2 linked regions of the Arabidopsis thaliana genome follow. The protein of the gene in region 2 interacts with the protein of the main gene of each other region in a pairwise test. Each region holds a gene or a part of one and is shown on either strand. Other genes may lie near its edges.

What was found.
Region 1: the proteins of FSD3 (region 2) and MRL7 interact in a two-hybrid assay, tested with the Arabidopsis thaliana proteins (one study listed by BioGRID).

What each region holds. Positions count from the first base shown.
Region 1 is NC_003075.7:14,124,583-14,128,775, forward strand, and holds MRL7 (polyadenylate-binding protein 2-binding protein), read right to left. Parts: upstream 2,501-4,193; 5' UTR 2,247-2,500; coding exon 1,552-2,246; intron 1,307-1,551; coding exon 1,222-1,306; intron 1,090-1,221; coding exon 978-1,089; intron 889-977; coding exon 785-888; 3' UTR 630-784; downstream 1-629. Other genes in the region: MGT5 (magnesium transport 5), read left to right, coding at 1-17, 146-421. UniProt on the Arabidopsis thaliana protein: Plays an essential role in early steps of chloroplast development. Involved in the regulation of plastid gene expression. May positively regulate plastid-encoded RNA polymerase (PEP) activity through binding to FSD3 and CITRX/TRXZ.
Region 2 is NC_003076.8:7,848,480-7,853,183, reverse strand, and holds FSD3 (Fe superoxide dismutase 3), read right to left. Parts: upstream 2,741-4,704; 5' UTR 2,561-2,740; coding exon 2,474-2,560; intron 2,376-2,473; coding exon 2,286-2,375; intron 2,008-2,285; coding exon 1,816-2,007; intron 1,728-1,815; coding exon 1,556-1,727; intron 1,455-1,555; coding exon 1,381-1,454; intron 1,303-1,380; coding exon 1,276-1,302; intron 1,188-1,275; coding exon 1,164-1,187; intron 1,069-1,163; coding exon 943-1,068; 3' UTR 650-942; downstream 1-649. Other genes in the region: PYRD (pyrimidine d), read left to right, coding at 2,941-3,090, 3,292-3,374, 3,511-3,834, 3,922-4,177, 4,268-4,456, 4,538-4,567. UniProt on the Arabidopsis thaliana protein: Destroys superoxide anion radicals which are normally produced within the cells and which are toxic to biological systems. Plays important role in chloroplast development, particularly in the maintenance of thylakoids membranes.

The sequences.
Region 1 (4,193 bases), on a different chromosome or scaffold from region 2:
GGAACAAAATTCTTTTGGTAAGTAGTAAATGTACCTAAATAGGTCTAAGAAAACCATATAAGTTTTAGATGCAAGCTCGGGTTATGTTTGGTTGTTATGTGTTAATGCCCGGTCCTTGGTAATTTAATATTTTTTTGAATTGCAGATGAAGGAGCATATTGACAGCACAGAAGCCTACGTGAAGATACTACAGAATAGTAGACGTAACGGACTGATCCACCTAATGATGCTTGTGAATATAGGCAATTATGCAATAACTGCAGGGACAGTGGTGGTCAACTTGTTCGGTATGAATATACCAATTGGATTGTATAGCACACCTGACATCTTTGGTTACGTTGTGTGGGCTGTCGTTGCGCTTTGCATTGTGCTTTTCATAGTCACCGTTGGTTACGCCAAGTGGAAGAAGCTACTTGACTGATAAGAGACTAAACACATTAGGTTTAGTCATTATGAGATTAGCTTTGTGGAATTCATTTTTTTTTTAGTTTGCTTTTTCTTATTGATTCAATGCTTTTGTTTTTATGTTATGGATTTTTGCATTAATAGTTTATCCTTCAAACAATTTTTCTATAAAAGGAGCTGGCTTCTTGATATATGTATGCATCATTGGTTACGAATCAACGTGTTAGGGAAAGCACAGATTGACGAGTAAAATCCATTACTTGGGAACAAGTTTATATTTGCATAGAACATACAAAAATGTTAACAATCTATGAGTGAAGTTTATGTAAATTTTCCTAGACTGACCTTTTGAGTGAAACTACTCTATGCCCGTTACAAACTAACAGTACGGGGTTACATTAGCCTTGTCGACACACGAAGGCCTCTTCGCTTTATAGTAGAAATGCGCAATCATATGAACCAATTCATCCGCCGTGCGAAAGTCTGCATCAAGTTCAATACGCTATGATAATCTATTGCTCACACATATTGCAAAAAAACATGAAAACAACGTTAGCAACATAGCTTATCACCTTTCTCCCTGTACAGAATCCGGTTTCCGCGTAAGAAGAGAATCTGTGGGCATTCCTTAGCTTTAAGAGCATATGCCAAATCTGTCTCGATGTTCAGGTCAATCTTAACCGCCTGTTTCATAAAACATGGTGATTCTTGTTAACAGAGAGCAGCCACATTAACATGTAATCACACCAAGAGAGATTAGTACACAAAGAGTAATGTTCAAGTTAAAACTGCAACTAGAGAAGGCTTTCGACATACCCGTGGAGGTAATCGATCTTTCGCATCCCAATAAACTTTGATAGCTTTCTCAAGCTCCTTCAATGTCTTCCAGTTATCACTAGCTCTATAAAACGCACAACAACTCAAAAAATTATTCCAACAGTAGTAGATTTTGGTCACTCTAAGAACAAGTTTCAGTTTTTATACTCATTGCAGTTAATTGATCATGGAATCTAACTCAAATGGCTCTTTCAACTTGTAATCATAGTCTAGATAATGTTGTGAAGGAAAAAGAACAAAGCTTTCATAGTTCTACTATGCACACCAAGTGTTTGTGAAAATTCGTCAATGAAATAACAAAGCTTATACCTTTTGTATCGCTCGAATACAAGGACAACGAGTGGACTAGGATGAAAAGCAAAGCTTTCCCATTCCAAACAATTGATCTCCTTGACCCAACTATCATCAATCTCACCTTCCCAATCAATCTCACTCCCATCATCTCCAACCACGTTTTTGATTGGATGTGTATCGAAATACTCCGAAGCTTTGATTCCCCATCCAACGTCTGTATCTACTGGCCAATCTGGATCTTCCTCTTCCACCACCATCTCTTCTTCTTCTTCCTCTTCTTCATCAACGCCTCTGTCTTTGATGAAATTCGCCTTCTCCTTGTTCTCAAAAACCTCCGGATTCTGCTCCTTTATGGTGGAGAAAGTACGCTCGAGGGAGCTTCTCACGTAATCTTCCACAGCGTCTGCTTCACTCCGCCGCCCACGCTTCGATTTACGCGGGACCTTTGTCGGAAACTTTTCATTGTTCTCGGTTTCAGCAATTGGCGTAACTGCTTCCTTATTTTTGCGACGGGACCGAGTTTGATTTTTGGATTCAGGGTCTAGTACGGAATCAGACGAAACAGCGGCGAAGCGTTTCACGCTCCGGGATGATATAGTCACCGGGAAAACAAATAGTGGGCTGCGATGCATATCAGAGAAGCTCGAATTCAAGCCGGTGAGAAGCATAGAAGATCTTGGCGCGGAGCAAGCAACAGCGAAGAAACTCATTTCTCTCGTTTCCTAAATTCAAAACGAAATTCGCAGAAATTTTTGGTAACTGAGTTTTTGCTCTTATAATCCACTTTGTCTGTATAATCCCGGTTTGGATTATTTCGGTTTGTGTTACTGTCCTTGATTTGGATCGGTTATCTTTCCCGATACTTGGTTTAGTTTATATAATCGAAACAGCGTCGTTTGAAATATTCATAATTTCATATACCTAGCTCCTCGCCTCCGTTAATGAAAAATTTGAAATATTTTTGGCAAATTTTAAAGTTGGATATGTTCTTTTTTTGGCATTTTCCCATTTCGTTATGTGATCACAATATCCATAATGTGATCACAAATTAGAAACATTGATAAAATATGTAAACTTTACATAGTCATAAGATCCTAAAATGGAATATTTTCTGACCTCAAAATGTAAACTCGTTAACAGTACACATACTAGTGTTTAAATATAATTTGTATGCAAGAAGAAGAAGCAGACACGATATGGAGAAGATTATTTTGGGATGCATTGTGTTTTTGTTGGTGTTCTGTGCCGTGTTGATTTGTCGTCTCTTACGTTACCTTTGTGAAAAACGGTGTGAAGAACCTAATAAGGTTTCGCACACACAAGAAAAAGAATCTAATAAGGATGACGTATTAATTCGAGGTACGTCTATTGTCTAACTGTTTTGTTTCGAGCTAATATATAACTTTTCTACAAAGTGAATTTTTCGATTCTATTTCTAATCTTTTAGTATCATGACAGCCTCGAAGACACAAACATATAGACCGCCTCAGGTGACGACGGTGTAGCCCGAAACCCGTAAACAAAAAGAACAACGTCTTTTCTACAATCAATTAAATATTTTTCACTTACCTTCAAGAAAAGTTTTTGTTTTGTGAAATAAAAGAAAAGTTTTTAGTGATTGTTTTTGACATTGTTCTCTTATTGTTTTTATTTTTATCCAAGGTATATTCTTATAAAGTTAATTGTTTGCGGTCTAATTTATTACATAGTACGATCTTTGTCAATGGGTGGAAGATATAAAGAAATTCTTCCTATAGTTTAGAATGTGTGAGTAAGATAAAATCGGAGTTCATAAACTCGATTGCCAAATCTTTGGGGTTAAGAAGGCTCAGTTTAGACGAAATAAATTTATACAAGTTAGAATAGATGATATTGTTAAATTGTTGGATCATATGGAATTCACAAATTAAAGCCTAACACGTGGTCACTGATCACTGGTTTCACATGCATTAAGACTCGTGGCCCATTGAAAACTGCAATGTTTTATTGTATAGTTGGTTCCATGTGTGAATGTAATTTTGTTTTGTGTTTCTTTTATATAGTTTGCATAAAAGCATGTGTTTTTATCTTCTTTATTAATAAGAAGTAAAAGAATTCTCGATTTCTTACACCCAATCTGTTACAGTTACACAGTACACATATATCTTCTTGTAGGTATTTTCATTTTTCAGTGACGTATTAATATTTGTAAAATGGAACTTCGATGACTCAAAATGTAAATATGTGTACTTTCTTTCTTGAACTCTCTTTTATGGACCTCACACCAATTTCATTGAGGTATGCAATACTTTTTCACTGAGGAATATTTTAACGAGTCTACTCATAAATCTCATCATATAAATTTGTTTTGGCATTAAGTTATTTTTATTATTGGTCGTCTCACGTCTGCCATGTTATTATGACATATATTCATAATATATATTAAAGATTGATATGAATATTAACTTACTAAGTATGGATGAGATGTTTTTGATAAATATATCTAAATGATGTAATTAACCATATATTAAACTTCAAATTTGGAAGTTGATTTTCTACATTTTACCAATTGACAGCTAGTTTTATTTATTCAATATCTACTTTCTATACATCCTTATAATGTCCAACTTTATAACCTAAACATCTACCTAACAACTAACAAGAGTCAGTACTCCCTC
Region 2 (4,704 bases):
TAAAGAACGAGGAAATTCAAGTAAACGTTAACTCGCTATATACTCGATTTTATGAATCTTAACAATGAATTAGTTTTGGCATCAAGGAAACATATGATCTTGATCCAAATAAATCTTGTAATCTCTGAGTTATACTAGTATCAGTTTGACCATTTAGCAACCATACAAATGTAATATGAGGACTAACACTACAGTCTTTATGGCACTGAATCTGCCAAAACCCAGGTCCTACATGAACATTGAGATTTTACAGAAAACCCACCAACCAACACAACAATCGCATTGCAAGTTTCATACAAGGATAAATTTCACGAACACAAAGCTTGAAATTGCTTATCTTTAAGAAAATTTTCCCTTTTTACTCACGCAGTTATGGGCACGACTCCTAATCAATTGTAGAAAATTCATAGACGAGGAAATGAACAGAACCTCAAGAGCCCAATCGAAATCGAGAGTTTCCGCGAGAGCGAGTTGGGAAAATCAGGGAATTACCCGATGCTGAGGGAGTTCCACAGAGACGATCGCGTGAAACTTTGACGTTAAGGAGGAAGAAAGTTTATACCTTTACGTTGAAGTGAACGATGGTGTCAATCCCTATTGTCAGGAGACGAAGAAGAAGAAGAAGAAGAAGAAAAGAAAGAAGAGGAAACGGATACTCTCAGTCACGTGCGGGTCACGTGAGCCAGCCTTCGTTTTATTATAACTTAATAAGGGTTAATTGCGTCACTAACATTACTGTCACCATACAGGGCTCACTGATGATCTTAAAGCTAGAGAGTCTCTCAAAAGGCAAAAGAAGAGAAAACTGTCGCTAAATTACACAGAACAAAAAGATGGGTCACATTCAGAAAGCAACTCTTGTTTTGTTGGTTGGGACTTGGGACTTGAGACCTCTGTTTGCAAAAATGAGACTGCCCAAGTTTCCAAGGAGTTGTGTTTAGCTTAAGCGATTGGGATGTTGGGTTCACCAAGATTCACAAACGCTTCTGCACGGGCCATCCGACTCATGGCAGCGTTCCACGACACCAAGTGGTTCAGAAATGTGTTTATATACTTAGCCCTGTCGTTCTAGCAACCGGAGAAAGAAAGAAACAAACACTGATTTAGCCTTTTGAACGAACAAAAAGAACACAGAATGGTCGGAATTTAAGCTAGGTTTTTACCTTGTAGTCCAGATAATAAGAGTGCTGCAAAGTAAGATAAGAAAACGAAAGATATTAGAAAATGTTTCAAAGTGTTTCTTGGAAGAATGACAGAAGAGAGGAGATGGTGTACCTCCCACACATCCACGCAGATGATTGGCTGTAACAACAAAAGAGATGTGATCAAGAGGTAACATTAAGTTCAACAAGAAAACTAACTAATAAAACTCTAACATACAATATCGTCCCACACGAGTGGGTTAATGGCGTTTGAGGTTTTGACCACCTCAAGCCTTCTCTCTTCCCTCTTTACTGAAATTTTCCAGAAAAAAACAAAAAGAGAATCAAAATTTTCCATTTTCAAAGTCATTCTACAGTTTAATACCAAGTGAAAAGCTAGTCAAGTTTCTCACAGACAAGCCAGACCCATCCAGAACCAAACTGAGTAAGAGCTGCATTAGTGAACTTTTCTCTAAAATTTGTGAAAGAACCAAAATCCTTATCAATCTGCTCAAGAACACCCTTTTGAGGCGTGTCTCCACCACCAGGTTGCATCGACTCCCAGAAGAAATCATGGTTATAGACCTAAACAACAACATAATCATCATCAATCCTTCCAACATTAGTGTGTGCCTCGGGTGATAATGTACAAGTTACTTAGAATATAAAGTACCTGTGCAGCGTTGTTGAACTCGGGTAAAGGATTCCCGTTGTTGTATGTAGCCTTGATAAGCTCTTCCATGGTGTATCCATAGAGTCTATCATCTTTCCCTAACTGTTTATTCAGATTATCTACATAACCTCGATGGTGTTTTCCCCAATGCACTTCTAGTGTTCTTCTACTCATATACGGCTCCAAAGCATCCTATTCACATTTGTTTTTAACTCTAATTAGAATCTCAACTATACCATCTTCTTTGACATATCACCAAGGCCCTAAAGATCAAGACACATCTACTTTGCAAGATAGAAGATACACAGATCAAGACACAATCTTTCCTATACTCACAAGACAATTCACCCAAATTAACAAACTTTCTACAGTTCCGTGCTTAGTCGAGAACAGAATTGGATTACAGAAGCAAGACATAGTTACTACACTTAGAATCCAAATACAAATACCAAAGTCTTATTTGCACTTACAAGTGGATAAGGAGGTGTCTTTAGACCGTAGTAAGCTTCAACCTTTAAACCACCTCGAGACCTAAGAGAGCGTCTTCTCTGCTGGTTACTCTATAAGGAAACGAAATTTGAAAGCTTTAGTGCTTAAAAGAGATAGATTCATGTGAAACAGAACCACAGCAATTTCCATGTCACACAAAGAAACGAACCAGATTGAGGAGCTTGGGGGATTTCAAACGTATACTAGAATCTGAAATTGTATAGAAACAGCTTGTCGTCACAACACAAGAACTCATAGTTCCTCCCACTGTTGTCGTCAAAGTCTCACTTCTGCTTCGAAAGACAGAGAGCTACTTCGCACTCTTGGTCTCGCTTTTTCAGAGAAAGGGCCTTCCTTATCAATCTCTTTTCAAACCGGTTAACATATAAGATTTTACCCCGGTTAACTACATTAAACCGGTAAATCGAACCGGAAAGATCAACCTGAAGGAAGCAAGGGTTTTAGCAAATACTCTGACGATCCTTTGTAACCGAACAACAAACAAAAAGCGTATATTTTTCTCTCTATCAAGATTCAAGCCGTGAGCTAGAAGGCTAAAACCCTCTTCTTATAGATTTCAAAGCAACCATTTTCGAACTCTGTTTGATTCCACTGTCGATTTAATCATCTTACCTAATGGCCGGAAGGGCTGCGACGTCGTCGGCGAAATGGGCGAGAGAGTTTTTGTTCAGAAGGGTTTCGTCTAATCCTCTTGGAGCTACCCGTAACTGTTCTTCGGTTCCTGGAGCTTCTTCTGCACCGAAAGTCCCTCATTTTTCCAAGAGAGTGAGTAGCTTTGATGAATTTATTGATAAATTAATCTCATTTTTGGTTTATTCGAATCATATTGGAATCTTATTCCTTAAGATAAGGAGTTGCAACTCTTGTTTTGATCTGAATATGGCACATTAATTGGTGTAGTAGAGTTAGATCATTGATGCTATTTCATTTTACAAGAGCAAAGTGTTTGACTTTGAAAATTTATAGGGAAGGATATTGACAGGAGCTACCATTGGTCTGGCCATAGCTGGAGGAGCTTATGTTAGTACTGCAGATGAAGCAACCTTCTGGTACTTTACTTAATAAGTGCCCTGAAACTTAGTCTTTTTGTTCTCTTTGTTAGTTGACATTGCTAAGGCTACCTTGTAGTTACTTTGAGGAAGTCACTTTGTTTTTTACCTCTTACCTATTTTGTGTGTTGGACAGTGGGTGGCTATTCAACGCAACAAAGGTTGTGAATCCTTTCTTTGCTCTTCTGGATGCTGAGTTTGCGCATAAGCTGGCTGTTTCAGCTGCAGCTCGCGGGTGGGTACCTAGAGAAAAGAGGCCTGATCCAGCAATCTTGGGACTTGAAGTTTGGGGAAGGAAATTCTCAAACCCAATTGGGCTTGCTGCTGGATTTGACAAAAACGCTGAGGCTACTGAGGGACTGCTAGGGATGGGATTTGGCTTTGTTGAGGTAGGCTCTGTAACTCCTGTTCCACAAGAAGGCAATCCGAAACCACGTATCTTCAGACTAAGCCAAGAAGGGTGAGAATCTCTAATCTATAAAAGACCTTCAATGATTGAAGAAGCAAGATAGTTTAAACTAAAAGACTTATATTTTGGTCCTCCCAGAGCTATTATCAATAGGTGTGGATTTAATAGCGAAGGGATTGTTGTCGTTGCAAAGCGGTTGGGTGCTCAACATGGTAAAAGAATGTTGGCTGAAACATCAGCTACTTCGTCATCTCCAAGTGATGATGTAAAACCAGGGGGAAAATCTGGACCTGGTATTCTTGGGGTCAACCTTGGAAAGAACAAGACGAGTGAGGATGCTGCTGCTGACTATGTCCAAGGAGTTCATAACTTATCCCAGTATGCTGATTACTTGGTACAAACTTCTTACCATGATATATCGAACATGAATTTGATCTAATCCACCGTAGAATTCTTTGTTCCTAATTTTCATTTTTCTCTTCAGGTGATCAATGTTTCATCACCCAATACTGCAGGACTGCGCATGCTTCAAGGAAGGAAACAGTTGAAGGACCTTGTAAAGAAGGTTCAAGCTGCTCGGGATGAGATGCAATGGGGTGATGAAGGTCCTCCTCCTCTTCTTGTGAAGATTGCTCCTGATCTGTCCAGAGGAGAGCTTGAAGATATTGCAGCGGTACGTAGTACTAAAAAAGCTAAAACACATTCTATAGTTTTCAAGTAATTGGTTCTTACAACATTGTATTGGTTTGTGTAGGTGGCTCTTGCTCTGCACTTGGATGGGCTGGTAAGTTATCCTCTTATGAACTAACTTATGTTACATCAGTGTCAATCAATGAAGCCTCCAGTCTGTTTAACGTAGTGTAGTAAAAGCGATTAAAGTGTTAGAATAGTCTCTTTTTTCGATTGTACGTATGGTATGTT